2 linked regions of the Styela clava genome follow. The main gene of each other region encodes a partner of the protein of the gene in region 2 in a complex. Links are inferred from orthologs where the notes say so. Each region holds a gene or a part of one and is shown on either strand. Other genes may lie near its edges.

The links.
Region 1: exosome complex component RRP45-like (region 2) and exosome complex component MTR3-like share a complex: the UniProt entries of both Homo sapiens proteins name them as parts of the RNA exosome core complex. The link is inferred for Styela clava from reciprocal best matches to the Homo sapiens genes EXOSC9 and EXOSC6.

What each region holds. Positions count from the first base shown.
Region 1 is NC_135259.1:16,250,146-16,266,153, forward strand, and holds exosome complex component MTR3-like, read left to right. Parts: upstream 1-7,512; 5' UTR 7,513-7,555; coding exon 7,556-7,649; intron 7,650-8,030; coding exon 8,031-8,207; intron 8,208-9,193; coding exon 9,194-9,285; intron 9,286-9,680; coding exon 9,681-9,878; intron 9,879-10,375; coding exon 10,376-10,492; intron 10,493-11,479; coding exon 11,480-11,638; 3' UTR 11,639-12,032; downstream 12,033-16,008. Other genes in the region: uncharacterized protein LOC120338528, read left to right, coding at 5,042-5,752; superoxide dismutase [Mn], mitochondrial-like, read left to right, coding at 6,495-7,187; ADP-ribosylation factor-like protein 5A, read left to right, coding at 13,100-13,145, 14,407-14,467, 14,799-14,946. UniProt on the Homo sapiens protein: Non-catalytic component of the RNA exosome complex which has 3'->5' exoribonuclease activity and participates in a multitude of cellular RNA processing and degradation events.
Region 2 is NC_135252.1:17,064,291-17,079,915, forward strand, and holds exosome complex component RRP45-like, read right to left. Parts: upstream 8,065-15,625; 5' UTR 7,972-8,064; coding exon 6,808-7,971; 3' UTR 6,393-6,807; downstream 1-6,392. Other genes in the region: coiled-coil domain-containing protein 13-like, read right to left, coding at 1-114, 1,438-1,572, 1,900-2,019, 2,538-2,649, 3,054-3,169, 3,655-3,773, 4,038-4,107, 4,521-4,660 and 3 more; uncharacterized protein LOC120343169, read left to right, coding at 13,439-13,553, 13,956-14,135, 14,409-14,639, 15,248-15,419. UniProt on the Homo sapiens protein: Non-catalytic component of the RNA exosome complex which has 3'->5' exoribonuclease activity and participates in a multitude of cellular RNA processing and degradation events.

The sequences.
Region 1 (16,008 bases), on a different chromosome or scaffold from region 2:
CTAAAACCAAATTTTGCTGTTTTAGCAAAAATTAGCCAAAATTTGTTGGGATTGCGATCAAATTGTTTTCGCATGAGGCTTATCGTTTTCCGCTTTTGTTTTTGTAACACTGTGTATACTGTCCATAAAATGTAACTTTCCCTTCATACTTACATGGCCTCGTCAGTGTAGATGGGCAAAAGTTTTGGCCCCCGGTCTAAAAACCTTGCCCACCCCCTTGTCTAGATTCTAGAATTTATTTAGCTTTAAAATTTGGTGTTTATAGCTTTGTTTCACCAAGAATTATATATACTAACATAACTCACCTAGTTTTACTAACTATAGGTGGGAGGTTGTCCGGTAACTTTTTGTCTGGTGGTTTATTCGAAAAACATTTTCCATTGGAAGATATCACTATAAGCGTGATATAAATAATACAAATAGAATGAACCTCCCTACTAGCCATCATAAACTGTGCAGATACTTTGTATAAAAAAGGAATATTCAAAAAGGAAACTGAGTTTATTTTGGAAATAACTTTGTGTACAATCTTTGTGGAACAATCAAAGTGTGATGGATTCATATAAAAATGCTAAAATATGCGTACACGGACGGCGTATAACTACGTCAATATTTCAAAAGCTGTCAAAGCAGCGACTATTTGTAATGGACTATGAGTTTCATTCTATTGCACACACACCAAAAATGAATTTTTGTATTGCATTTTATTCTATAAACGCTTATAGATATGTATAAAATTAGCAAAAAAAGAGCAGTATACAAAACATATTGGTTTTGAGAAAACAAGTTTCGTTTCTAGATATAGGAAGTAACAAAAAGCACAGTCCTGATTGATAATAGCAACACGTAGAATCTCTCTCTCTCTTTCTGCCGCATTCGCTAGCAATTTCGTTACGCTACTATCTACGGTTATCGAAAACTGTGTAATTTAAACTCAAATATAATTTTATACTTATTATTATATACTCAATTTTGAAACCCGAAACACTAAATTCAAGTAGGCCTATAGCTTCATCGTGCTCAAACTTTCGATATCATTCGAAGTTTTCGAAATTAATGCTACGCACATGTAATAGAAAATTATGAATGGTACGGAAGTAAACAGGAAATAAACTATCTGAATGGATGTATAAAGTGCATTGATACAAGCAGTAGAAACTTTCTTCGGTGACATACTTGGGATGGTTTCATTCATATTTAATAAGTGTTATATCATTAAAGTGATGATCGTCATTATCGATATTTTGAATACCACGTCTTCTCAAATTAATGTCCAACCCAAATGAAATCACCACCCTCTATCCAGTCATACCAAGTTGAAGAATAAATATATCATTGAAAATATTGTTTTCCATAGCTCGAAAGCCTTCATACATTATGAAATGGAATAGAATATTGCTTTTAAATTCCATCTTGCATGGACAGCGGCATAGACAGGGGGGTGTATGATTTCCTAACGCCTTGTCGGATATTATCACGCACGAGATAGTTATTGAATCTTATTCAAATGAAGGCCAATAAAAAAATTCAACTTTCATTTTTAATTTGCTTCCGGCGCTGCAGTGGGACGCACGGGCGCGGCGGTGTGACTCATCGTGTGTTAAGCGTTGGGAATACGCTCGCCATTTATGATTACTCTGCGTGGGTTCGCAGGTTCGAATCCCATGCCAGGATGGTTATGTGCGAGAAGATTGCTGATTGCTCCTCGCCGACATGGAATGGTAACCGGGTGAGAGGCCGTGGTTCGCCACATGATTAAGCCGTCTTATCGACTTTCCTTTCCCGTGGGATGAATATGTAAATCATATACTATCCCTATCCTAAAATGAACCAGCAGTCACGTATTTTTTGTGTTTATTTCAGTCTCAAGCCTCATTCAACAAGGTTTGTGTTTCTTGTGAGTGTGTGCTGGTAATCAGTAGTTTATTTCTCACCATACTCAAAACAGGCACAAACATACAAATTGCAATAAATTAAATTATAAATAGGCCATATTTCAGGTGGAGGAGACGCGAGAAACCAGTACCGGTTATCGAGCAGCGGCACCTATAAAATAAGTCTAACACTATATTATACAGAAGAAAAAGTCGAACTAAGTTTAAATAAATTGAGAAAAAAATACATCGAGTCAATCGACTGATTATTACAGGTTGGCTCTAAGTTTTTAACGTTTTATTTGTCAATGGCGCCTTCCGCCCACTTGCATCCAGAACGCGATATGGTACGTCTCATGAACCCTGAAACGAATAAACATTTTTTTTTCTATAATTGTGGTTTTTCCGTGTGGGCTGTGTTTATAATGACCAAGAGTATATTTATTTATTTATTTAGCAAAATCGTGCTGCTAAAAAACAAGAAGTCTTAAAACGTGTTTCATTATAAAATTTAAGCTCAAAAAAGAATTTAATCGTACTTAGCAAATTGCGTCTAACATTTTTGTGTATAAATACAGTAACGTATCCAGTCGCATGTGTATAAAATAAGAATATATACTTTGATATGATAACATCATGTAAGTATTGCAATAAAATATTGTATACATGTCAAAAACATGTATGCGTAAATACCAAATGATAACAAAATACTTTTCATACAACGCAATAAAATAAATTTCCTAAATATCCGAAAAATCGTCAAATTGACCCAAAATTTGAACAAGACCAACCTTTGAGGCTTGAAAAATATTTGGGATATGGATTGACATCTTTAACATGTTTTCAAACAAACAAAGAAATTGAAAAAAAAACTCGATCAGTTTTCTAACAAAATACTTTTATACAACGAAATAACGTAAATTTCTTAAAAATCCGAAGATCGTGAAATTGACCCAAAATATAAACAAGATCTGATTTTGTTTTATTTCTTTATTTGTTCAAAAACATGTTGAAGGTATCATTAATTCATACACAAAATATTTTTTGAGCCCCAAAAGCGGATCTTGTCCAAATTCTGGGTCAATTTAACAAAGTCGGATCTTGATCAAATTTGGTGTCAATTTAATAAATTTTCAATTTCTTTTGTAAATATTACGTTATTTTGTTGTAATAGATATATTTTGTTGAACCTCTCATTCGATCATAAATGCTGTGTGTTATCAGATGATAGATACATAATAATGTTCAATTTACAATTCTACATTTCCGTGACTATTAATTAGAATTTTAGAAATATGTTTTTATGACAGCGTATTATTTGCTGAAGGATTTTGCTGATATGACAGTGGCAATTAGAATTGCAGTGATCGGCGTGCCTTCGCAGTACAAGCAGTCCCATTGAAATTGTCAATTTTCCAAAATGGACTACTGAAGCCAAAGGTTTATCTTGCTTTACACTTGAGCAATTATTTGGCCAAACTTGTTCTTTCTTCGTCAGCGAGCAAAACAGCGTTTACCAGTTTACCAGAGAGTTTATACCATTAATATATCAGTATATTGATGGCAATGTCGCTTTTGCGAACGACTGATTGCAGGATTGCCGTGATTTTCACATTTTACTGTTTTAGTATGAATTAATATCAATTTATTTTTTTGATTTTTATGGGTGTTTGTGTGAGACTGTGAGGGATTGTGTGAGTCGAGGGCTTAGTACAGTAAAGCCATACGGTAACTGTGCAAATAACGCTAAACAAAAATGTGAATTGAAATTTTAATGTAGCCTAATTAAAAAATATCGTAGTCTATAATGCTGTATGTCGAAGAAAAAAATTCTTGAAGCACACGTTTAATTCAAATTAAACCTGCTCAATTTTCAACTAAGCTGGTACTGTATGTATGTCCTATGCCGTTTAGGGTATTGCAGTATTGTGTACGAGCATGAAGGACTTTTATTTTAAAAATAGAATGAAAATTTGGGTAGTTCTGTAGTTTCACATCACATTTTTGTTTAGTGGTATTTCAGTATTTAAGCAAGGATGTATAGGCTAGATTATTCTATATTCCTGTATTCCGACTTCCAGATATTGCGTTTTTTATAGTTTATTTGTATTAATCTGAGCGAAGCATCTTGAATTTCCAACTGTCAGACTGTAGTGGCACTTGTTTCTTGACTGGTATTTATGCTTTATTTTTGTTCTTTATTATTAGCTGTATTACTGCTGTACTGTTTCACAATACGGCACAGTTTTCCAATTGCAAGAATAGCCCTACATTGAAAAACATCAATCATAATAGTGGGTGTGAACCAATCCTTTACGACAGGGGTGTGCAACCTTTTTTATTGGCGGGCCAAATACAAGTAACTGGGTGAAGCCGCGGGCGCACCTTTATTTAATTTAGGCTTTCTGGTAGTTGCAAGCACAAAAATTGCCTATATTTGCTATTGATCTTACGGCATTATTAGGGGTTCTTGCAGAAATAGTAGATTTAAAACGCATAAACTTCTGAAGAAACTGCTATTTAAATTTTTTGTCGCACCGACTTCAAACGAATGCAGTGAGAAACACGTTTTTGTAATATAAATCGTGTATTTTGAAACAGAATTTTGCTAGCTTGTTTTGCTAATATGACTGGTATGGGCTTTGGCCCGCGCATTCGGCCCGCGGGCCGCAGTTTGCACACCCCTGCTTTACGAGACAGTCTGGGCGTCGATATCTGTTCCAGAAGGAAGTGCAATCTAAAGACATCACCATTGGATTCTTTAATCAGAACATAATATTGATTTACTAAAAAAATTAGATTTCGATAGTTTTTAGCCAAAAATCGCAATTTTGGTCATGTGATGGACTGATGGCGGAGACATATCACGCTTGATTTAAACCATCATTGAGACTAGTATGATGCTCTCTGATGCATATGCCATTTCAGGCGATCATAGCTATACTTTTGCAAGCTCTATGACAGGATTGCGACGTCGTAGTGACCTAATTTTTTGCATGGCGTAGTCAGGTGGGGGTTAGGATTGGCATGTGCAAAAATTGTTATGCTATGCCCACTGGAAGTACTTGAGGTACGAAACTACTCGAGACCTGAATATTCTATAAAGTAAATTTAATATTTTTTTTATACACAGCTGAGACAAGTATTGTGTAACTATTGTGCTAAAAATGGGTAAAATTCGAAGAAATAGAACGAAATTCCACTTGTCTACAAAAAATTCACAAATTGAAGAAAGCACAAATCAAGAAATCGGAGTACCCAAAGACTTGGATACTATCCAGCTTCCTCCTTTGTCACTAAATCCTTTCAGTGGTGGTCAGATTTCAACTAGTTCCTTTGATCAAAAGGAACATGAGGAAAAGAAAATTGATTTCACTTCAGATGTAGCTTCTGTAAATGTTCAGGAAAAATCTGCTGCATCTAACATTCATCTGAATAAGAAAAAAAGAAGAAAATTAAAACGTCAAAAGTTTTTGGAAAAATTAGAAGTGACGAGAGTCACAAAAGAAAGCAAAAAAGCAGCAAAGAAAAGATCAGATGTTCCTGTTGTTGGTGACTTGAAGCCAATGTCTCTCGCTTTGAGTGATATAACTAAAATTATCAGCTCTGTTGACGATAGTCAAACTGATGCAAAAATTGTTTCAACTAAGAAAAAAAGAAAACGAAAACCAAAATGGCTGAAAGAGAAATTGAAAGACACAGATCCATTAGAAGGATTTAAGACAATTAATGAAAAGGGAATAACGAAAATACAAAGTAAAAGAACTCAAAAACACATGGTTTATGAAATTCAAAGACTGCAAAAAGTTGTATCGGATAAAAAATTTAATGGTGTCAATTTGATTTTGACAGATGCGAACACAAAAAACGTGGTGTAACGTTTCAGAATTTTTTTGACCCTTTTGCAACTATCCATCATTTCATCATGTAGTGTCACTGGAGAAGCCAGTGCTTGGGGTTGAACTGCCCTTATTAAATTTCAGGAAGACAGAAAAAGTGGCTAATGAGCATGCTGTGTGATGTAAATTGTAAAGATTTGATTCAGTAATAGAATCAATTAGGATGTTTCCGAAATGTAATTGGCCTTGACTGCTTAGGCAAGAAATAATTTACTAGTTAGTATTGAATTCAAATATTTAGATTGTTAAGTTCTTGTTGGTAAATCTGAATTTATAATCCAATATTTTTTTTGAGAATTCTAGTTACATATATATGGTTATGAAAATAGAGCATTTCAGCAGAACTGGAAAGATATTGGATTATCTATTACGAACATAGAACTTGTAAAATATGCAACAATGTAACCTGATATGCTAATACCTATAAAGGATACTCAACATGATTTCGGCAATCACTGGCCAGTTGCAGCTTATTCCATTATTTCTGATTGTCTGGCAGAAATATCATTATCTAAAAATAATTCAATACTTGGGTTTATCTTAACTGAATGAGAGTTTATGCTGTTCTAGTGATTGAGACTTCATGCCAGCTTTTTTTCATATAAAATGATTTTTAAAATTTCATTCTTTCCCAATTTGGATTAATTGTATCGTGTCCATATTAATCAAATGGTAACTCTGCTTTCAGGTTTTATGCAATTATATTACACAGTACTTTATAATGAATATGCTGATGAGCCTTCGAAATGCTGGAGGGAAGCTTGTGGGTGGACTTCAATCAAGATTATTAGTAAGTTCTATTACATGTGTGCGGAGCAAGCACACCTTACCTGATCTGCCTTATGATTACAAATCTTTGGAACCGACAATATCTGAAGAAATAATGCGATTACATCATTGCAAACACCATGCTACCTATGTAACCAATCTAAACGCAGCAGAGGAGAAACTTGCTGAAGCTCAAGTAAAGAGCGATGCAACGGCAATAATCAATCTCGCTCCTGCTCTCAAATTCAATGGTGGCGGCCATATCAATCACTCCATCTTTTGGACAAATTTATCTCCGGATGGTGGCGGAGTTCCTCAGGGAGAGTTAGCTGAAGCTATTAATCGTGATTTTGGCTCCTTTGATAAAATGAAAGAAAAGCTTACTGCATCTACTGTCGCTGTTCAGGGTTCTGGCTGGGGTTGGCTCGGATACAATAGAGAGTGTGGAAGATTAGAAATAACGACTTGTGCTAACCAAGATCCATTGCTTGCAACTACTGGATTGATACCACTTCTCGGAATCGATGTCTGGGAACATGCTTATTATCTTCAATACAAAAATGTTCGTCCTGACTATGTTAAAGCTATATTTGATATTATTAACTGGTCAAATGTTTCAGACAGATTTGAAACAGCGTCAAAATAAATGTTATTTACAACAATAATTTTGGTTGCCACTTTGGTATGCGAACTCTGCATTTGTGTGATCTTAGTGATTTTAGAGGGTTAATTCATGTCTTTATGAGATCGCATACCAAAATGGCACCCAATTTCGTTTTCTATTCACAACTAAACTAATGTGATATTCTGTTGCAAAATATTCATATTTTTTTTTTAAATATATCGAAAGCTTCAGGTGTTTGAATTTGTTTGAATTACTATTCAATAATGTAATTGGTAATTGTTCATAAACAGTTATTCCATCGTTGAGGTAAAATCTGTTTAATATTGTATAATTTATCACAGAGATTCACAACTAGTTACATTGCAAAGTTATAGTTATTTCTTGCGATTATGCCTACCGATTCAAGAAGAATACCTGCTCCGGAAAATAGCTTCAGTCCAGATATATTTATTTCTGATAATAAGAAAACAACGCAGTTATTGGGTAATTATGATTTTTGAATTTATCTTGTTGTTTTTGCTCATCATGTTTCTGTTGTTTCAAGGGCTGTGAAATTTGGTATGTGTTTGCCGAATTCATATTCTTAAACTTTTCAAAGCCAATGTAGAAATTACGTTAACTTTAATTGTCTCATAATTTGGATGAGGTGTAAATTTCTCCTGATTCTTCAGCTAATTGTAATCATGTATGATTTAAAATTATGGGACGCAATTTTACTCATGTATTCATCACAGCTATTGAGAAATTTACCAATGATCTATTTTTTTGTATTTTTTACTGCCCATCTTTTTAATATATCGGTCCATGAGTTAGTTGGTTAACAGAATCCTCAAATACAAAATTAAAGCAACTTTTCTTTCATAGAAAATGGCCGTCGTTTTGATGGAAGAAGTTCAGATGAAGTGAGACCATTATTTTTGAAAACTGGTGTCATATCACAAGCTCGAGGTTCATCATATATAGAAATGAAAAATACCAAAGTTATTTGTGCTGTATATGGACCTAGAGATATTGGAAGAAGAGATGATTTTCAAATGGAAGGTAAACTTGATTTTGCATTGATTTTTCATGTTTACAAGTTAGTTGTAGCCAGAATAAATCTTATCGTAATGTTGTTGAGTGTGATATATTCAAGACGATTACGAGTCAGCATGACTTTATTAGTATGTCAGGCAATGTCTTTTTTAGACTGGGCATTTCCAAAAGTATAATATTCGAATCAGTATAGAGCAAAATTCCAAATCACCATCTTGTTTTTTTTTCTTCCCGCCAATGGTCAAGCAAGTTTTTTTTATTAAAGCCATATTTTTTCGACGCAAATCCTACATATGACCATTTTTCGTAGTGGGTTATTGATAAAGCGTGTTTCTTATTTTGTGTGAATGATGTATTCTATGTTTTCAATAATTCATTTGTTGACAGGACCAATAAAAATATACTATAAAAATGTGCATACAATTATATATCTCCCAGGTATTCAAGATTCAATTCCCAAATAAATATTCAATAGGATTCTGAAATCACCAGGTATTCGAAAATGCCCAGCCCTAGTCTCATTTAGATAGGAATTTATTCATCATCCAGTTACTGTATTAGCCAACAAATCAAATAAAAACACAAATATTAACAACATTCAATAAGTAAAAGAAGGATAATCGACTAACAACGGAATTGATAGGAGGTTGGAAGGACCATACGGTCACTAAATCAAAACAACTCTCCTGGCACGAAAAAGGTTGACAGATTACATTTTATATTTTACCAATTATAAAACATTTTAACTCGTAACTAACAATCAAGCAACAATAGTAATGTGACACATATGAGATGAACTTTGAAACAGAAGTGGCGAGAAAAAGCGTTTAATTTTATATCACACAAAATAAAAAGGTACAACTTGAAAAGGTATGAATCACTACTTATTCAGAAAAGACTGGAAATACTTCTTGGAAAAAACATTAAAACTGGAAATTTCTATTAGGTTTTCGTAAATACATTTGAACGTCAGTTTTTTTATCTTCTAACAGGTGTGTTGAAATGTGAATTCAAATTTGCTCCATTTTCATGTAAACAAAGAAGAGGTCATATACGTGACAATCAAGAAATGGAATATTCACAAGTATAATAAGTTTTTTGTTGCTAGATCTTCAAAGCATATGTTGTGTTACTTGTACACAGTTTATTTTACTAGCGATCTTGAAAAAATTAGTTTGAATGGAATTTGCAATTAATTATATTTGTAAAGTATGTAGTAATATTCTATATTACTGGTTTGAACTACATTTACTTGCTTTGATGAGCATTCTCTAATTTGGTGAAAAAACAATATGTGGCTTAATAAGAATCTTGGCTCAACTATTTGTTTTTATGTGAGTGTACAATTGCACCAATCAAACATTCATATTTGAATTCTAAATAGGTTATTATCAGTAGTGTGGTTTTGTTGTTATCTGTTTCGTTTTCTCACTCTATCAGAGAAAGAAATCTAGAAATATAGCATCGAACTTTTTTCAGATTTTAGCACAAGCTCTTGAGCCTGCAGTATTGATGCACAAATTTCCAAAAGCACAAGTTGATGTTTATGTCACTGTATTAGAAAATGATGGAGGTTCTCTAGCTGCTGGTATCATGGCGGCATCGCTTGCATTAACAGACGCATCTATTGAAATGTATGATATGGTTACATCCTACAATGTACGACTATCAGGAAAGGTATTTTATATTTATTACTGGACAAGTGTCTATTTATGTTATGATAACAAATACTTTAATTAAGCTGCTTGACTTAGTAACAGCCTAGGAAATGTTGTGCCCAACGCCTCTATTTAGCACATTTACCCTTGTTAAACAGCCTGCAAGTTTTAGGAACACCCTCACATTGCTAAGCACGAGGGTCGGCTTAAGCTTTGAGCTCTGGTTTATATAGTCTTGTGAGATACCGAGGGGAGCCCTCTCCCATAGTCTGGTAATGGCATTGGTGAAGCATGGAAATGTAATGAAAGATAGGATAAATATTAAGTCTCAACTTCCAATCTATGTTTATGTGGAACACGGTACTCCCGTCACTGTTGGTTTGGACTTTAGTTTGCGAATCCAGGAGATGTATATTGTTCAACTAGGGAGAATTGTGTCTGGAATGTTTCATTGGAGTTCCATTCCAACAAAAAGGTTGAAAACTACTACTCTATTCCTATCTTTGTGTCTTCCAGAATATGTTAATTCATGATCCAACAGCGTTAGAAGAGTTTGATTCCAATACAAGTGATGGTGCGTTATGCATAAATCAAGGAAATGTTACAGTTGCCCTTCTCCCACTTTTAAACCAGGTGAACTAAAGATAATATTGAATAATAATGAAAGGGATATACGAAGAAATTTTATTGTTTTTGAAAATTCTTCGCCACTGATATGGGAAGCTAGCTGGCAGTGGATACCTGAGCTATTTAGTTTAGTATTGTTCCTCTAGTTTACTTATCCCTTTTACAGAAGATGGCGGATAGTGTGACTGTGATGGCTGATGACTCAACTGCGTTGGCATCGCAGAATGTAATAAATGGGGGAGGTGATACCGATTCAGAAAGATTCTGGTTCTTTCAAATAATAGTAGTAATGTAGCTTTAGATATCAGTGGCTACTTGTACAGGGCCTTGTTCTGAGCGAAAGGCATGACAATAAAAGGCCACCACCAAACTCCTTAGAACAGCGGGTCACCAAACTACAGCCCGCGGGCCGGATCCGGCTTGCGGCGTTCTTTCATCTGGCCTGCAATACCACAAAAAAATGGCACACATGGCGCGTGCTTTGGTGAAACTGTTGCTGTGTTCGTATCTTGTGCTAAAATGAACGTTGAACGTGCATTTTGCGCTAATAGTACTGTAATCTCTCGCGTACTGCTCCATTTTCACAAGTCAAATTAACCTTTGTGCTGCTTAAATGCAGATATTTTTGACAGCAATATTTTGCTAACAGCTAACATCAGGATAGTTGTATAGATTTAGAAATCTTGTATTTTGCTATGATGTTCTCGTTCTATATTCTGCGATATGGAAAGAAATTTCAATATTCTTCTAAAGTCTTCAGAAATGTAGACTTTGCGGTATATTTTTGAATAATGGTCCTGCCTGTTTCAACACAGTTTAAGCCATACCTGGCCTGCGGTCAAAAAAGTTTGGTGACTCCTGCTCTAGAGAATACCGAGTTAAAAAGCTGGATAGAAGAAAGCCTCCTTCGTGAACATGATAAAAGCTTGTCTTAAATCACTATATTTGTTATCTGATATGTTTTTTGTTACAAAATTGTCATCTTTGCCTCAGGTTTCTGGCATGGTATCAACTGGCATCATTGACTGTGACATGCTCTCAGATGCCATACAAAAGTGTACTGATGGAGCACAAAGTATTTATTCTGTTATGCAAAAAGCTGTCATAGAATCCTACAATGAAAATGATGTTACAGATGGTGAAGAGACCTGATATTTACAGCAATGTGATAGGAGTGCACCTCCAAGATGCGTATCGAATATGGAGTATGCTTGATGGTTGGGTCAGGCTTGGCGAAACTGTTATGTGTGGGGTGGTTCCTAGAAAAACAGAAAGTTTGTCAAATGGCTACTAGTATTTATTTTTACATATGATGATTTTAAAACGAGATTGGAACAATAGACGCTGATTGGAAGTGCGCAGACGACATTTTGAACATCTATGAGTGTAACATATGCCTTTAGAAAACTGTAAAAGTTATTCTTTGTAAAAATGAATAGCTGTTTGACAAATTTTCTGTTTTTCTAGCGACCACCCTGTACAAACCAATATAGCAGATATCTGTTGCATGCGTGTTTTAACAATCATGTTAATAAACTATTCTGGAGTGAGAGGAATATAATAATGTATTCTGGAGTTTTAATGTGTAATAGAAGAGTAATACTCAGATATATGAACACTTAAGGCCAAAGCGCAGTTTTAGGGGTGTCTAATCGCTCACAGTGCCGCAGCTTTTACGACTTCGCCTGACCACCGAATGCAGAACCGTCACATGGAGCGCAATTTTTAATTTTGATGATATCATCGCACACAAAACACGAATTTCATGGATCCGACAGACATTTTTGAAATAAGAGTAGTAGCCACATAGCGAAAAATACAATGTTGGTGGTCCAGTAGTAAATATGAGAGAATCGATTCTTCACCAGATGAAGAAAAGAATGACTAGTTATGAGATAACAATCCATATGCCCATTCCGTGTCCAACAATAGGTAAGTTTTAAGCTATTGAAAATATATATATATTTACACACAGCCCATCCTCTACCTCCGTGAAAATCTTATCACTTTTACGTCATGATACATTTATAACTATGATTACGCCGTGTTATCGGCATAATATCCCTACCGGGATATATTTAAAATCTGTTTAAATATCTATCAATTCCATAATGCTGCGATATAGGTTCGGTATCCTGTCATCGCACTGTACTGCATTCCTGCTGCCGTTCCCATAGTTACTCGCACATATGTGCTTGGAGTCGTTTTTGGTTTTGCTTTTCTGTGTTTCGAGCGTCTCTTGGATTCAGGTCGTCTCGATTTTTCACTTCTTTATATTCTTTTATTCATTGTTTGACTTTTTTCATTGTTTTATGATTCATTTATTAGACTTTAGCTCAGGTGTCGCTGCTCGATAACCAATTTTGGTTTTCGCGACTCCTTTCACCTCCAATTATCCGTTTTTGCTCCCTTTTACATTCCGTATGCATTTAGTGTATTTCATGTGTGGTGAAAAAATAAACTACTGATTACTGATTACTGATATGCAAAGATATTTTTTCGGATGGGAACATGCTCATTTTGCGCGTGGGATATGTAAAAACATTCAGCTGACCTAGCGTCGTTTTCGAAGGAACCATAAGCCAGTTAGCTCTCTTTCAAGTCGCGTTGATAATGGGATTTCTTTTATCTAAGCTTGTGAAGCTTTTCAGCAATGAAGGTAACCGTTTTAAAATATAAATATTATGATCTGGTTATGTGTTCATGTTCACTTGAATGCAAAATTATAGTGTTTTTAAAATTAAAAATGACTTATTTTGTAATATCAAAATTCTGGAATTTGTGAGCTAGATTAGCTAGAACGTTTTAGATATCGACTGATACCGATACGCTGTACAAAATCAAACAATATTGGCTATAGCATTTTCAGATACGCTGAACGTTTTGATGTTATAGTCACGATTTAAGTCCTACGGGTACTTGTATAAAAAAAAAGGTTTATGTTGTGATGTTGGGTTGTTACACTTCCAGACTTCAATGTTTGGACATGGTCTTTTCGTTTTGCTCATGACCCATTTAATATAATTCTAAAATTAATTAAATCGAAGTTGAGGAGAATTCTATAATTACTCTTCTGAATTGGAAGTTACGGTAGTACAGTAGTAGTCAGCTGTTTTGCTTTTGCCAGTCTTGGAATCAGTCCGTGGGTATTTGAAATTTTCCTTGCAAATCTGAATTTGGTATTCCTTTAAGCTATGATTCACTATAGGGGTCTAGTGCAGTTTCGTACCTAAAGTACGGTACTTCTAGTGGGCGTACGGTAGCACATGTCAATCAAACTTATTCGACGCATGAAATCCAAATTGGGCTAAGTCCATTTTTTTAGTTTTGAGAAAAACGCAGAAAACGTTTTTTTTTTTGTTTCTTTTTTTTATTTCTCTAATACCTTACATCGAGGATGTCTAGTTTTTATGGTCCACCAAAGTTACAATGAAGGCCATATATTGATGGTATAAAAAAATTTGTGCTTCGCCCCAATTTTTTTTGGTGGGGTTTTTTTTGGACTTAACCCTTTTTGGTTCTCAATTTTGGACCAGAAACAATTTTATTGGACTTAGGGCCCCTTTATTGTGTTATTATAGAGGCTGGTATGGACTTAGCGCTTTGTATTAAATTTTTTGAGAGGAGCTATGTCCAAAAAACGGATTTAGCCCCAACTTACAATGCAGTTATCCAGAGCTAAGTCCACTATAGTAGACACAGCTCTGTTTAGTTCTCAAATGCCCTAAAAAAAGCAGGGTTATGTCCATAGCTGTCTTGAGATCTAGAGCACCTAGAGATAAGGCAAATAGACCAAAATGTAGAGCTAAGTCCAGGAAAATCAGCAATTGAAAAATGTCATTTTTTGGAAAAGTGGACTTAGCACTGTTTGGTTTTGAGGTGTCGATATATCCCTAACTTCAAGCTTTTTTTCTTATCAGAACACAAAGTAATCATTGTGGGACTGGATAACGCTGGAAAGACAACGATACTTTACCAATTGTAAGCATTATTCTGTTATAATCTGTATATTTTACTACATTATTGATGAATTTTCAAATTATATCTTTGTTGGAATATGTCAGTATACAGAAAGAGAGGATTGAAATTGCATTAAGACTTATTACATGTAATATTGATTTCTGTTTATACTACTGTACATACCTATACTTCATTCAGTAATTCTAGACACTTTGTTAAACTTAAAAGAAATTGATATTTTTGGTCTCATTTATTCGAATACAATTTGACTTCACTTGACCCAAGAATTTATTAAGAAGGAAAAAAGCATTAGAAGATAATGTCTTAAAATTTTCATCCTATTTATGTTTAGTTTAATGAATGAAGTTGTTCAGACATCACCTACTATTGGAAGTAATGTAGAAGAAATTGTTTGTAAGAAAACAAAATTTGTAATGTGGGATATTGGAGGTCAAGAATCATTGAGATCATCATGGAGTACTTATTATGCCAACTCTGATGTAAGTTTGAGAAAATGGCTTTTTTACTAATTTCATATGTCAGAGTTGTCAGAAATTTAGAGAATCAAAACCTGCTTTTGTTCTGTTCTGTTTTCATTTGGGTGTTGTACCTCAATGTTGTACCTATTAGTTTTTCAATTTAGGCCACAGCCTCAAGTAATATTTTTCTTTATTTTTAGTTTATTGCCTTTTATCACTCATCTGTGTTAAGTCATAAAATAATGACCTATTTCCTACTTTGGTGTCATATAGTTTTGGATTTATAAACACCCTTGGATTAACAGAATATGTCTAGGTTTTTACTTTAATTCACTCATATTGTACTCTCGAAGTATGTAATGTTAGGCCATAACTTTATTCCGATTTCCCCTTTTTTTAGTTCTATTACAAGTTCGGGGACTGTCTGTGTTAGCCAAGTGAATATCCCCCTGCCCATAGGCTTCAGTCCCTTTACACAATTTGATGTAAAAAAGGCCAACAAAATTAGTTACCTCTTTATTGGTACAAATACTGGAGCGTCGTGCAATGGCTAAGTGAATGGTGCAAAGCACGAATAATATTTATACTGCAAATCGTTGGTCTTTTATGCATATGCATTTTTTTTATGCATTGTCGAATTGAAAGTATTTCAGTTCTTCCAAACAAATGGTATTCTGCAATGACTCTATGTGAGGATGTGAAATATGAAATGTCTCTCTGAATAATTTTAAATTTGAGTAATTTACTTTTTACTTGTTTCAACTTCAAATATCCCCAATTGGCCATTATTTCCTGAAATTTGATATTGAATATGATATATTACACAAAATAAAATTTTAATTTCATTACGCTCCTTGAAGACACCATTACAGTAATATTCTATTCAATTTTCAATGGGATCAAGTTCTTTAATTAAACACGCCAAGTCCCAATACTAATATGGCTCGATATTTTCAGTCTCTGTGGCATTGAAAAATCCATTTTATGGCAGTGACAATATTTTATGAGAAATATATTGATGCCAGTTAGAATATTCTGATTTCAATTACTGACAGTCTGTCAGTTTCTAGTCTCTATTCTATT
Region 2 (15,625 bases):
TTGAATATTTTGTTCTAGATGTCTCAATCTTGCGTCACGTTCTGATAACAATTGTCGTAATCTTCCTATTTCTGCCTGTTCCTGTTGTTGTCGGCTGATAACTTCTTTACTAAACTGAAAAGGAAATAATGAAACTATTAAATGAAAGCAGAAAGTCAATAGACAGTAGCGAGTACTTAAAAATGTGGAAATGAAAATATTTAGAAAACATATAGATCTAGCTTAACTGCTGTAGGCAAAATCAATTTGAGAAATCCTAAGTTATTAATATAAAAGAATAAATTTAAAGCAAAGTTGCGATTCTTTCCAAAAAAATGATTGTAAGAATCCACTCATAAAACGTATTGTTATACATAAAGATTCAATGTTACGACAGTAGTCAACACCAGACTTTTATTCATTTATTTCTTGAATTTGAAAGTAGGGACTTTAACCCATAAAGGTGAATAGAGAAAAGGTTGTTTTGAGGAAATGGTGGAAAATGTACATTTTGGATTTTTTTATCTCCTGTAATGAATATTGCGTCACACTATTATTCGATGCCACCTCTAAAAAATCCGATTTTTTTTTATTATCAAAAAATAAAATTTTTTGACATTTAATCATTGACTCTTTAATCGTAAATCCACAAACTCGAGTGGGAAACCAATGATCCTAACCCGGTCTTTAATTTATGGCAAAATCTTCCCAGAACAATGACGTGTTGAAAATATTATTACTATAAACACTCTATGAGGCTTTGAACAAAACAAAGCATTGTGAACATTGCACTCATAACACTTCACGAACAAAAGTAAAAAATTCACAAAACAGTGTTAATTAAACTTTGTATGGTAAACTTCAATAAATCAGACTAGCAATTCATATGATGAACATCCTATATACACAAGTCATAGAGATTTCTTCAGTAATAAACAGCTTTACTAATCAATGTTTATTCACTACTTGATATATATTATTGGGTCTTTGGAAACGGCAATAAAGTAAGAAAATAGATTTAAATCAAAGGATATTATCAAACAACTAAATATAATTGAAGACCTACTCAGTACATGGTTCATAAATTTTTGTCAACACAAATATGAAATAAATAATTTCATGCCGAAGGAATGAAAGGTATGCTTTGCTATACTTATATATATGAATCTTGGGTTGACATGATAATACACTCATAATAAAAACTTGTGATCCCTTTTAGCGGAGGTACTTATTTTCCTACTGATCTAAAGCACTGTTGAAAACAATAAAAAGGTTCTTTTCTAAAATCTATTTGCTCAAGAAGAGGTCGGAATAACCCACTGAAAAGTATACTCTGAACTTATGCATAGGTATCTATTTCTTTGGGCTACCATTTCTCCATTCAAGAATTAAATTATAAATATGCTATATTGAATTTTTTCTTCCAGTACCCGATTTAAAAGTTATTTCAATTCTTACCACAATGCCAGCTTTCTGTATATTGTCTTTAGCACTGACATTATGTTCGACAATTTTCTGTAGATTTTCATGTTGTTTCATCAGAGTCATAATCAACTCATTATCATGTGTGCCTTTATCTGTCAGGACAGAAATCTGAATACAATCGAAGATTATGTTCAGTCATAAACTAAACTTAGTCGTAATATAGACCGGGTCTCTCAAACTGGGCCCTGGGCCAGAGAGGACCGAGGGCCACAAGCAAAGGCCCTCACTAAACTACCAATTTGCAATGACTGTCATAATTTAAAGAAAATTGACTTCGATTTATCTAATAATCCTTTTGAGCATAATGCTTTATTATGTTACTTTTGTTTGTTGCGTTTAACTTATTAAATATGGTGAAGGAAATAATTGATGGAGGAAAACTATTTTTTATTCACTGAAGAAGCATTTTATTCATATTGAAAAGTCTAATATTACCTGTGCTTTTAGTGATTTAACCTCATTCACTAAAACTTTATTTCGAGCTCTAGTTGCATCAATTTTTCTTTGTAAATCCATGTTGATATCATTTGCTTTCATGATTTCGTTACGAAGTTCCTGGCAATAAAAATAAATCATATTCTCAGTATTTTACTGTTGAATATGTATAGTGAGTAAAGCGTTGGACTACGTTCGCATCGCAAACTAAAATTTATTCAAATTCCACGCCCACCGCCTCACTCAGAGTGAAATAATTTGAGTAGGTAATGCTGGACCAAAAAGACTGTGGTCCTTCCATACCACACTACCTACTTGCCTAGAAATGGGGCTTGTAGAGAGCCTTTTTCTGGGCAAAGTGCATATAAGACATCATATAAAAACATAAATGAGGAGATCAAAAAATATTGCGATAGGATTGCTGAACCCCTCACTCCCATGGGGTGGTTCACTTAATCGCCGGTCAGTTACAGCTTCTCCATCATCAAGTCCATGCATCTGAAACGAATAATAGGCTTTCCTCCCCCCAGGAAAAATATGAAAATCCTATCATATTTAAATTATAGATTAATTGAGTAACAATTAGCAGATTCTTGACCTTTAACTAATCAAGAATTTCTCAAGAACAAATTCCTTACTTCAGTTTGTTCTTTTCTTTGTTTCTCCATGTTTTTAATTCTTTCTTGATTCTTGTCAGGTCTGGTTAAATTGACGCGTCCTGTAGCAGTCATCAGTTTTTGTTCTAAATCCCTGGCAAGATAAATGAGAAATAGTCAAATATGGTTATTCAATTGAGCATGAAATTAGGTCGAATATAAAACGTCCACAAAGGGTCACAATCGAATACCAATAATTCACTATTCTGAATATGTTTACAATATACATTCAATAAGTTACAATTCAGAAATATAGAAAAGTTTTTACAAACGGTAATTTCATTAGTCTCATTTTTTACAATTTTCAGAAATAAAATAAAGTGTTCTTTGGCCATATTGCAGGGCTTTCACTGCTTGAAATTCATATTTTTAAAACGAAATTATTCAAAACAATCCTAAAATCAAGAAATTAACAGTAATATATATATTTAATAATTTTGAACAGATTCGAATACTGACTTAATTTTTTTGGTATTTGTGGAAACATTCAACACCTACTTCACTTTATCTTGCAATGTCATTATTTGTTGAGTTCTTCCTCTGAATCCTGATCCTCCACTGCTTAATATAAGTTGCATAGTCGCTGGTGGTTCTCCAATCTCTTGTTGCAAAACCTTATTGTGTAGAAAACAGCATTTAGAGCATCTTTTATCAAAGGAATTTTGTTGTTCTGGGGGCGGAAATATTACTTTCTTCCTGGTGTAGTTTCATCGATGTTGTTTACTGTTTTCATGAGGATACTTAGAAGCTATTGAAACTGTGTAAAAGTCAGAGTGTGAATTGCACATAGCACTAACTCATACGAAGTTTTTTGAAGAAGTAATGAAGAAATCCAGAATAGACAAAAGCTATCGAAAAAGGTTGGAAATCACTGATGTAAGGTAACAAAGTACGTAGTAGAATATGGAATAAAATCGCTAACTTATATTCATTTGCCTAAATTTAGAGATAAGTTAATGAGAGTTAATAACTTGATAGATTTAATTTGATGTTATTCTCCTAGATTATTCTTAGATGGTGAATAGAAGTAAGCACATTATAAATTCCTCCACCATCAAGTCCATGCATCTCAAACAAATAACTGGCAATTTCTACTCACTTTGTTGGCAATCTTCAGTTCCTGTTTTAGTTCTTGTATCTGATTTCTGTATTCTGCCATCTTTATATAACACGATTGTAATTTGTCATTCAACTCTTCCACATTATCTGATGGAACTTCTACGGACCAGAAAATAAAACACTGGTAAATTGTAAATTATTTCATTAGCACCAGGAACAAGGATCAACAGTTGTGGTCTCATGCTAAGCGATGGGAATACACTTGCTATTGCATTGCTAAGAAACTGCAGTCTATGTAGCTCTTGGCAGTTCAGAGGTCGCCAATAACTTCGCTCAGAGATCAATCTCCTATATTTCTGACTCTGAGTAAGTGTGTGAACTTGCTTTGAGCAAATTTTATTATTAAACAAAAAAAATACAAACCTGGATTGATAGCAAGTGTATTGCGAGGACTCAATTTCTTTCTTGGAGTGCTTGAACTTGTTGTGTTGGTCTGAATTTAATGTCGAACAAAGAAATAAAATTACAAAATACGATCTGTTAAAAAATTATTCACACAAATCACACAAGTTAAGAAAAAACAATTTCCGAAAATACGTTAAAATTGAACATTTGTGAAACTAATAATTGACAAACTAATAAATTTCCACCTTTTTGCACTGACATAAAAAAGTGAAAATTATAATTGGAGTACCTTAACTGGCTTAAACTTAATAAGACCTGAGAAGCCATAAGACATTCCGTGATTCCAATAAAGATTTGCTTAACAAGTAAATATCAGTCATGTTCAAGTATGAGAATATTGAATATAAAATAGAAACTTTGGTTCAATCTTGGCATAATTGATCAAATACCGACTGAAAATACGCCAGTTAAATCATGAATCAAACCTCATATTGCACATACCGACTTTTCAAGTTCTGCCAACTGTTTCATAAGTTTGAGCGATTTAGTCTTTTCTGCTTCTCTTTCTGCTGTCAATTCACGATTTCGTTTCGATAAATCAACAATTTTCATTGCAGCCGTGTCTGATACAGCACCAGCACCTACATAAAAACAATTTATATATTAAATAAACGAAAATTTGAATAGGACATGATTTTGCCAAAGACAGAAATATGCTATTATATGGCAGAACACAGTCTCTTGTCTGGTTATCAAACAGGTTAAGTAACTAAATAATCGTTCCAGATGCATGGACAGAGAAAAAAAAAAACCTAATGCTATGTGAGCCGTCTGACGGACTGGCCCAACAATTCTCTCATACCGAATTGCTTTGCATCCAGTTACCAGTCCATGTTGGGTACTAGAACAGTTAGCCAGCTATTCATTTTGGATGCATGGACTTTAAGTTGGATAAACTGTAGAACAGTAACCAAAACAGAAAGTGTTCTACACTCAATTTACCCTCACAGGATTCAAAGCTGCGAATGCGGGGTATTCATCGTACGATGACAATCATGTACCAAATTATTAGCACGAAGCTCAAACCGTCTAACTACATTTTTTTAAATCAGAACATGAAAGGTTTCATGAAAGGTAATCTAATAATAGAAAGATACATACTTGCTAATAATTTTTTGTCATCTTCCATCTTCAAGATTTTTTTATTCAAAGATTTTATATCATAATCTTTCTCAGCTAAGTTTTTTCTCAGTCTACCAGTCTCATCCTTTAATTCCCTGAAATTGAAAACAAAATTGAATGTCACTATTTAATGAGAGTAAAAATATCTTATAGTGGTTCTTGCCAAACTGAAAGGATTAAGCTGAGAAGATAAGAAATATAGTAATTAGTGATCGAATTGATGACTGCTTAATGCTTATTCAGATCACGGCCAAATTGGCCGAATATTGGGTTAAAAATGCCAATTAAAAAATCTCAGAGATTCTTTTAAAACAAATGTAGTTTTTCGTAAGGATGTGAAACACCCTATAAACAAGTAACAAGATGTCGTAGACTGAGAGTTACCCAATCAAGGTCACTGGCTATAAGAGTCAATTTCTTGTTAACAGGTAAACAAACAAAACAAAAAAAATAATATTAAAAGCAAATTAATTTGAATTAAAACTTCAAGATAAACAACAATAAAATTTCACCTTATTTCTTCTCTCATCCTGGTATTGGCATCTTCCAATGCAGTGTGTAATCCAGCAATATTACTCGATGAAACGTCTTCAGTCGTAAGATTTAAATCATCACCAAGACCAAATGATTGACTGTTCGACATCTGAAAATAAAGAACTCTTCACAGAATTCTATGAGGCAGGTCGCATATCTTAGAACGTTCCAGCAGTTGTGATGAAATTGCATTATTATAAAGTATCCATATGTGGAGGCTGACAAGAAAATAGTTAATAAAATACCCAAATTTAATATTTTGTTATTTGTTTACAATGCTTAGTAATTGATCAAATTTTAATCATGACTGTAATTTTAGATTTATTAAGGAGCATAACGATTTCTGGTTCAAATCCCAAGACCCAGTTTTATTAAATTAGGTCGGAAATCTCATGGTCCTTCCGAATAATCTCCATTAAGTTATCAGTTTATGCTTATACAGAGCCTTGTTTGAGGAGAAAGCAACGTATAAAAACATAGATACCATGCTTGTATTGCTTTGTTGGCTCTTGGACTTCATTCTGTCAATCATTTTCTGTCTTTGCTGAAGCTGAAGATCTTCAAAATCTTGTTTTAGTTTCAAATCTCCTGATTCCATGTTTGTTAACCATAGATTTGTGCCTATTTGGCTTCACAATGTAAATTAATCAAGTTAACTCTGCAAAAATGACAGCCATAATTGTATGCTGTGGGTTTTTCAAAAGACGAGAAGTTAAAAACGAACTGTAAGTGGTTAGAAGGGTTATCTTGACTTTTGGAGGATATCCCAATACTCAAAATGTTTGAAAACTAGAGACCTATGTATTTTAGAAAATTAAGTACAACATAGAGCATGCTGTTGCATAGCTCATTTCAAAATTACGAAATAAATTCGCAACAGAAAAAGGTGGTTGAATATGGATGAATATTATGGAAAATGTCTACAGACTAGAGTAACGGTCCAAAAGTCTGTTTGGGAACAATGCATGCTAATTTGTGTTAAAATGTTTAAAAAATTCGAATTGCTCAAAAATATTAATAATTAATAACATTTAACAATATGATTTTATTATATTTAGACAAAGAATAAATTTCAGGTTAATTGCAACATGACTGTATCTTCTTCTTCATCACTTTCCATTTTAATATCTGTCTGTTTTGATTCAGTTTCCATGGCAACTGTAGCAGTATTTTCTATCCCGTCCTCCCCGGCAGTAAACGTATTTCCACCATTATTCATAACCCATGATAGCTTTTGTCTTGTTTCATTTTTATTTAATGGACCCTGAATTTCGTCCTCATTTTGTTGAATCACAGGTAAATGAACTTTAGATTCGACAGACGCGATGTGCGTTTTAGGATCAAGATCTGGTTTTGTTTTTGTTGAACGATTGGATAATTTAGTTTGAGACGATTTAAGACCATTCTTTTTTGCAGCTTCATCATTTGCGATTGCTTTTTTTACAAATTCACTGAGTTCTTTGACTTTTACTGAAGATATATTTGTGCATTTTAAAACTTGATCGCTACTAACTTGTACAACACCACTCATCTGTGTGCAACAAACTTCTTTATGTTTGTTCATTGCTATCATTAATTTACCATCGCAACAATTTTCTTCTAATTTAGTTGGATCGATAATGGATGTGGTACCATTATCAAAAAAGGCAAAAGTCACACAAAATGGCTGATGATTGAATGTTAAAGGCACGGGATGTTTTTCTTCAAAAGTGTGAACAGTTACTTCTTTTCCTATAACAGAAACATCTGGTCGTTTAAAATGTGCTAATGCTGCTAACGAAGCTATAGAAGCACAGTCCAATATATTTCCATCATGGGATAAAATCTGCACATGAAGTGATACATTCCATGCTTGTTCTCCAACTCGCACGCACAAGCTCTCCAGGTCAACAGCTTTTGATAATATTATAGATCGTTCTAACATTCGTTGCAATTCTATTCCAAGTTCTCCTGGTTTTGTGGGATCGAAGCTAGGTGATCCCATTGTAGACATTTCAACAAAAATACCCAAGTTTCCCTCACTTGATCTGCTTTCTTTGGGTCTGTCCATTTCTGCACGGACTTGCGCAAGGACTTTAGTTTTTCCCAAGCTGACAATACAACATCCAAAATCCATTTTAAAAGTTATTTTTATTTCCCGATAATCTGCAAAAGTTCTTCCGTCCATTCTTGTAGATTCTCCAATACATTTTGTGACAAATTCATATTCACAATTTGACAAAGGAATTTCCCTCATTCTGTTTTTGTAATCCTAAATCACAAGGTTATAATAAGATAACTCAAATTTCTAATTGACACTGAAGATATAACAAAACATAACACAATTAGCTTCATATCACAGTGTCAGGCATCTTATCTAGAAATGCTTAGAAATAGTACACTGAAAATAGTACACATACCAGCAGACATAAGGACATAACGAACAGAGATACATAAAGCAAATGAATAGGTTGCACTTAATTAAATCAAAAATTTAAGGTTTCCTCTATCTCCATTTATAAAAATAATAAAACAGCAATAACAGAATAAAAAAATAATGAAATATTTCACTTCGATCAAAGGAATAGGTAATAATGACAATTGAGCCCTTGCGCGTTGTTGATAAACGTATCTCTGTCTGTCTGTAGTTGAGCCTGCGTGGTTCGAAATGCATAAACGCCTGATACCGCAGTACCAGTACGGCGGTACAGTACTGCTGTGCTGTGATACAAATCCTCTCTGTCAGTCGAAAGGCCGCTTAAATCAGGAACCCCTGATTTCTAGGATTTCAGGCACAGAAATATCTATTCTATTACAGCATTACGATACATGCAGACATGTCTTTATACTGTTATAATCCTAATAAAAAGATGTAGGATAGGATTTACATACTTCTCCCTGGGGAGAGTAAAGCCGATAAGACGGCTTATCCATATGGCGAACCACGGCCTCTCGTCCGGTTACCATTTTAAGTCGGGTATGGTTAGTTATATTGTTTGTTTTCGGAAGCATGGACTTGATGGTGGAGGAAGCCGTAACCGACCAGCGGTTACATGAACCACCCAACGACGGCGAGGAGTCCAGCAATCCTCTCGCACATAACCATCCCTGCATGGGATTCAAATCTGCGAACCCACGCAGAGTAATTAGAGGTGCGGTGGCGAGCGTATTCCTAACGCTTAGCCCGTTGAGCCACACCGCCGCGCTATAGGCTAGTTCATGCTCTCCTACAACAGTACAGCAGTACCACGCGCTAAATACTGACATACGAATCACAAAGCATTCTACGTCTGAACCTAACTTATACTGCTATACAAAATGTACGACAGCTTATACAGTTATACTGTAAGTATAAGTTCATTTCGACTCTATAACCAGCATAATAGGCGATAAAATGTAATAGACAAAAACAAAACAAATAAAACTAATTATAGAATCGTGAGAGCAAACAAAACCTCAAGTTAGGTTTGAAACGTGAAGATTTTAGATTCTGACTTCAAAATATATCGCATATATTTTAGTATTTCTGTACAGCTCCACATTCAAACATTGTGAATTCAAAAGCTTTAAACTTTTTTCTTTTTTGCCAAATAAATACAATGCCAAACGGAATTTTTGTATTAATATTTTGGAATCGAATCATTTTATTTTAAATACGGTACATAATTTTTGTTTCCATGTTTTTTTGTTTTATAAATTTAAATCCCATTCCCCCAATATATCTATCAATAGTAGAGTAAAATCCAAATAAATACAAAATTCATACCATTACCATGTCCATGATATCATTAATTTAAGGTAATATAATCCATATATGTTCAAAGAAGTTGAGTTAATCCACTCGGCAGTTATATATAATTTTATTTCCAGGTAATCAGTTTATTTTAGTTAGCATGAAAAATGGAATAAAAATACAAAAATTAGTCAGGGAATACACTAATACAGGAATATGGAAAAAAACACGCTTTTGTACTGGGTTTTTCCTATTCGCCACCTATGTTCCACAGTCCATAGACCATCTTCTCATGAAAATGATGTAGGCTACCAATAATACAATTTCAATAATTTTCACAGTATGGTGTTGCATATAAACTTAAATCATGATTGATCTATGTATAAGATCATCCATGTGCTCATATAACAATAAATCATTTCTTTCGCTTGCTTTTACAGAAATAAATTTAAAATCCTTACCAGTTTACACTTAAAAAATGAACGCATACTACTTTTCATTTCATCTTTTTCATCATTTTTTACTGAATTTCGATATTCCCAAATTGTTGGACTTCTTCCCACCACTGACGAGTTTTTTCAAAAATGCTGTGTAAAAAATTACGGCAGTGCGAGGAGTCAAAATTAATTGGGTAATGAACATGATTCTTTCTTCCTTACGGAGTATGAAGAACTCAGTTCAGTATAAGTATAAGTATAAGTTTATTTCGACTCCATAATCAGCAAGACAATAAAATGAATGGTAAAAATAAATAAATAAATAAAAACCGATTATGACTAGGGGAATCATTGATGGTCACTTTAGCGATTAACAGCAGTTTAGTTTTGTATTATGCCTCTGGACTTGGTTTCTTAATTTTGCTACAAGTTAACTTCTCAAATCAATTCAATGTTTGTTCATCTCGCAAATCTACTTAGATTCTTATATCGACAAATGGAGGATGTGTTTTTTTTTTGTTTTGTTATTTATCTGCATTGCTGAATGCATCAGTTATTACATCAATTTTACACGTTTATTGTTACAACTTAGAAGATTCCCCGGACTTTATTGTCTGGTTTCAATTGTATTTATTTTTTCGGTACCCAATTTTATTTTTGGTGGGTAAAAGCGTTTTGTTTGATTTTGATCTCAACTTCGTGCATTAGAAGCTTAATAAATGAAATCACTGCCATTACGCTTGCAAATTCAAACATTTTAGTAATTTATCGCGACACAGAGAATTAGTATTCAGGCGCATGATTTAACTATTCAAACTGGCTGCGTATCCAATATATCTCCCATAAAGATCTTGAAACTGACAGGATAGCCTATACAGTATTCTGATTCATTGGCAACAGTTAGGACAAAATGAATTGCTACATTCCGCGGTTATTCCGAGTTGAGTTTAGGTCTCAAAACACATTGTTATAATCACAAAAGATATGTTGATAAAGTAACATTTATAAATAAAAATAAAATAAAACAAAATTGAATGAAAATGTTCATTCGTTTGTACTAGAGATACAGAATGAAAAGAAAAAATAATAGTAAGACAATTTTAAATTACATGATCTCAACGCATTGAAGATTTATACCTATAAACTCAAATTACCGTATTTTAGGGACTATGAGGTGCTCCTGGTTGAAAGGCGCACCGTCATTAAATTACTTATATTGTGCTTTTATCCATACAAATGGGCTATATCGGGCTAAAAGACGCATCGGTATTAAAAAAGCGTCGGGTTACCGTACAAAGCACTGTCAATAAATTGCCTAGCACTGCCATAAATTTATATATATATTTGTGTCACACTGTATCATACATCTAAACCAGAGGTGACGAACCTGAGGCCCGCAAAGAAATTTCGTGCGGCCCGCGAAGAATTCAGGCGATTCAGTATAATTATGTTTGTCGTAAAGTCATACCCCTTTAGGTACTGCACACAGAAAACGGGAGCGCCAGTGGTATTTATATTACTAGCAACGATAGGCTACATCTATTTTTGTTGGATCATCAATACCTTTGAAAATGGATCAAAATGTCCATTGTCTTAGCATAATTACGCTGTTTTATCGGCAAACGCATACGGTTAAATGGAGTAGATGTCAGGTGCTGAAATTGTAATGTTTTTGCGCACGATACACGAGATATTTAAAATTAATAAAAAAAATTATAACCTCAGCTCAATGATGGAAACAATGGAAGGTCTTGAAAAAATGCCTGCTTTTCAAAAATCGGTTAATCGTGACAGGATGGATTCGTTTATAATTTCTGAAAGCTTGCAAAATACAGATATTTTGTACAAAGCCCCCACTACTAATTTAAAAATGTGAAATTTGAGAAAAACACCGCGTTCTGAAATACCAAATTGGTAATTATTCAGTTGCGGTTCGGGTTCGGGTTAGGATTGATTTGGGGATTCGAATTTCCGGCGCAATCTGCAATCTTAGCCCCCACCCCAAAAACGTAATTGGGTTATTTATAAATATTTTTTTAATTTTGAGCGGAGGCGTAGGTTGAAATTACCGAAAGTGAGGAGGAAAGCATCTGAAAATTTTCATGCAACTGTCGTCGCAATTAGGTAGGCCACTTGTGAAAAGAGCCCACTTTTTTGACGGATGTCCTGTGGAAGCTGGATTTTCATGCTATTAAAATATTGAAACACGAGTCAAGCTGCATTGAATTGTTATTAGATTCGTCTGCTAGCATTCCATCAACAGACTAAGGAAGGGATCGAATGCCTGCAGCCACAACGGATAATGATTTTACTGTTATGTTATGTTGTCGAGTAATGATTTTTCAGTTGCGGATAGTATTCCAATGATGACCAATACGAGTTTTGCTTTATTAATTTAATTGTATGTTTAATGTAACCTGCGGTTGCGTTGACAAATTGAGAAAATTTTAATGAAATATCACAGCAATCCACGGCCATGAAAAGTATTACAAACAGCCCGATTATATTTAGTTTTGATTCGTATTTTTGCTTTGTTACGAATTAGTTATACGAATTAGATCTGTTCTTGCATCACTGACTCCGCTCTATCACAATGTTAACAACCAAGATTATTTTCAAGATATCGACGTCAGAGAAATCGCTAGATCTGCGATGAAATATTAAAGACTACAATTCATTTCATTCAGTACAATAAAATTTATTTGTACACTTATACACCGGTATAGTTGACCAAAAAATTCGTGTTAAAAATGCTGCGGTATTCGAACGAAATTCGAATCTCGAACATCCGAGCGGAGCTCGCGGCCGAGTGAGATGACGCCGCACCCAAAACCGAACTTGATCGATACAGGTCGAAGCTGGCAGACGAAAATCTTAGTATGCAGTTGGAAGTTTTCACATCGCCAGTTCGCCCTAATATAAAGAAAGCGCTCAGTATTATATTCATTGGATGTTTCTTTTTTATTTATTGCTGCAATATATAATTTATTAACATCAACTGTATGAATGCAATTGCTCGTTTTGTTGATGAAAATCAACAGGTATCATAATATGACTAAAATGTTGTGTGGCCCGCTCACTCAGCGGTGACTGATAAAATAGCACGCGACAGCAAATAGATTCGTCACCCCTGATTTAAACTAATAAGCAGATCATAGACCTGAACTCTCGCTAGTAACGTTAGAACTGCTGCAGAACGCATGAACAATACTCACAAACACAATGGTAAACAACTTGACGAGATGAAAAATTCACGCGTCAGTTTTTCACAATGAAGTTTATACACTATTTACAAAAATTTCCAGTCTTCCAATAATATTGATTTTTCCTGATAAACAACGTTAGGCAGAGTACAGATCAACCCGATATTAGTGTCGTTTTATTTCTATTGCATGTTTTATTGCGTGAAATGACGTAATCTCGTCTCAACGTGACAAGTATTGATCATGGTGAAGACTTTAGTTCATAACCATCCTAATTTTTAGTTTGCATTATTCATTCGTATTTTGAAACACAATGTATGTGTGCAATTTTATGGTAAAGCCTCGGGGTAGATGATACAACCTTGTTTTTGTAATTTATATAGAAAATTACTAGCGCAATTCGGAATGACTGCGTTGGATGAAATCATAATTTTACTTTTATTGGTTATGATGAAAATTTGCTTCGGTAAGTAGGCTACTGTAGCGTAATTGTTATATACACTGTGATAAAATTATTTGTAGCATATAAATATGAAAAGTTTATAAGTCTAAAATATATTTATTCGTTTATATTGTACCGAACTACAGGAGTTTACATGCAGTCATGCATATATATATATAAAGTATCTCTCTCAAATTCCCAAGAAATCGTATTTGAAATGGACAATGTTTAAAATATCCTACCTAAATAAAAACAGCTTGATAATCCGAAGGGTATTGGCTTGTCGTCGGTATAACTCAAGCTCGAACTCAAGATCTATTATTCGAAGCTACAGTGCTGTTTGGTTATTTGGACAACGATTCAAATTCAACTAGAGTTGAGGATATCCATTAAAATTAAAGCAATAGTGCCACAAATTATTTTCAGGACAAAGAGGAGTTTGGTTGAGTGGCAAAAGGTCGTATGAATATTATATTTCACCTGGAAACTTTACTGGAACATATTACGAAGCAGAATCATCCTGTAAAAAGGTTGGCGGAGAACTGGCGTTCATAAAGTCGGAAAAAACCCAACTATTCATCGGAAACTTGGTATTAGAATGTACAGGTAAATGATATGTATATATGTTATATTATATTCATATATTGCATATATTTCAAACTAAATATTACTTAATAATTGAGTTTTTTGTTTCGTAACATATTTTACGTGCAATTAAATTACTGTAAGGCTCAACTATAAGATTGAAGGATTTTTATATATACAAAGTTTTGCTGAGACCACGGCACAAACGCCCGATAGTCTTACGAGAAAGAGGCGTTTTGAAAGGCGATTGGGATCATACACTCATTTCTATTCCTAACCATACATCACAAATAGGGAAAGCATCAGGGTATTTCATTGGATTGCGCGACGTTCACAATAACGGCACTTTTCGGTGGAATGATGGAACACCGATGGAGTATCAGAATTGGAATGAAGGTCAACCAAATGTAAGAGGAATACAAACATGCGTAACCATGGGATTTAGACAGTCGGATGAGCAACTACGCTGGCATGATTATTATTGTGCAGATGGGGGAATGGGATTTGTTTGCCAACGAAAGAAATGTGAGTGTAATATAAAATGAGTTATGTAAATTTTTACTGCTTTGAAATATCAAAACATTTCTATATTGAGAATCGGCACGTTCTTGAGGCATGAGTTAATTGTCTGAAATTGCAGTGCCCCTATGATTCATTCGTTACATATGCATGTGGAAAACGGAAACATAGCAAATAAACATTTCTATATTTTTATTAAAACAGATTTGAAACAGCTGTGTGGATAAAATGAAAACCCGTTTCACTGCTATGACTCAGAATAAGTTAAATATTTATTAGGTCAAATTTCTCATTTAAAGCATTCCAGCTAAAAACCATACAAAAACATTGATGACTATTAACTTTTTGAAGTAGTGTCATTTCTTTGCCAATGCGCGTTGAAAAAACTTCTGTTAAAAGTAAGAAGTTCTAGTTAAAGCGATAAGCGCAGGTGAATTCATTTGTGCATTGCAGCAGTAAAAATAATACTTCGTCATATGCCGTTGTAAAACGTGATCCCAGCCCATGCAACCATTACATGAAGGACTAGATCATTACTTTTAATACAAAAGCGAATTTAAAATAATATAGCTATTCTTGGCACGTCTAATTAAATACATGATTGCATTTTTTAGGTCCTAGGGGATGGACTCGTAAAAAGAAATATAGAAATATTAAAAATTCTTGCTTCGATGATCGTGGCTTTAAATTAGATGCAGCAAGTTTTATGGTTGGATTCACTGCACCATTTCTTTTACTAGTTATTGTTATAACAGCTTTTGTAATGTATCATAAAAAGATTAAAAGGTAAAAAAAATATATTGTTTTTCTGTGTATTACTTATATATGTCATTCAGAGTAATAAAACCCAGTAACAATACTCAAGCTTCGTAGTTTATGAATTTATATATATACAACAAACAAAGCTTTAGATGAGAAGCTAGGCTATTTAGGAAGTACCTTCAAATATATTTTTTCAATGATATTTAATAAATATATTTAGTTGGTTCATA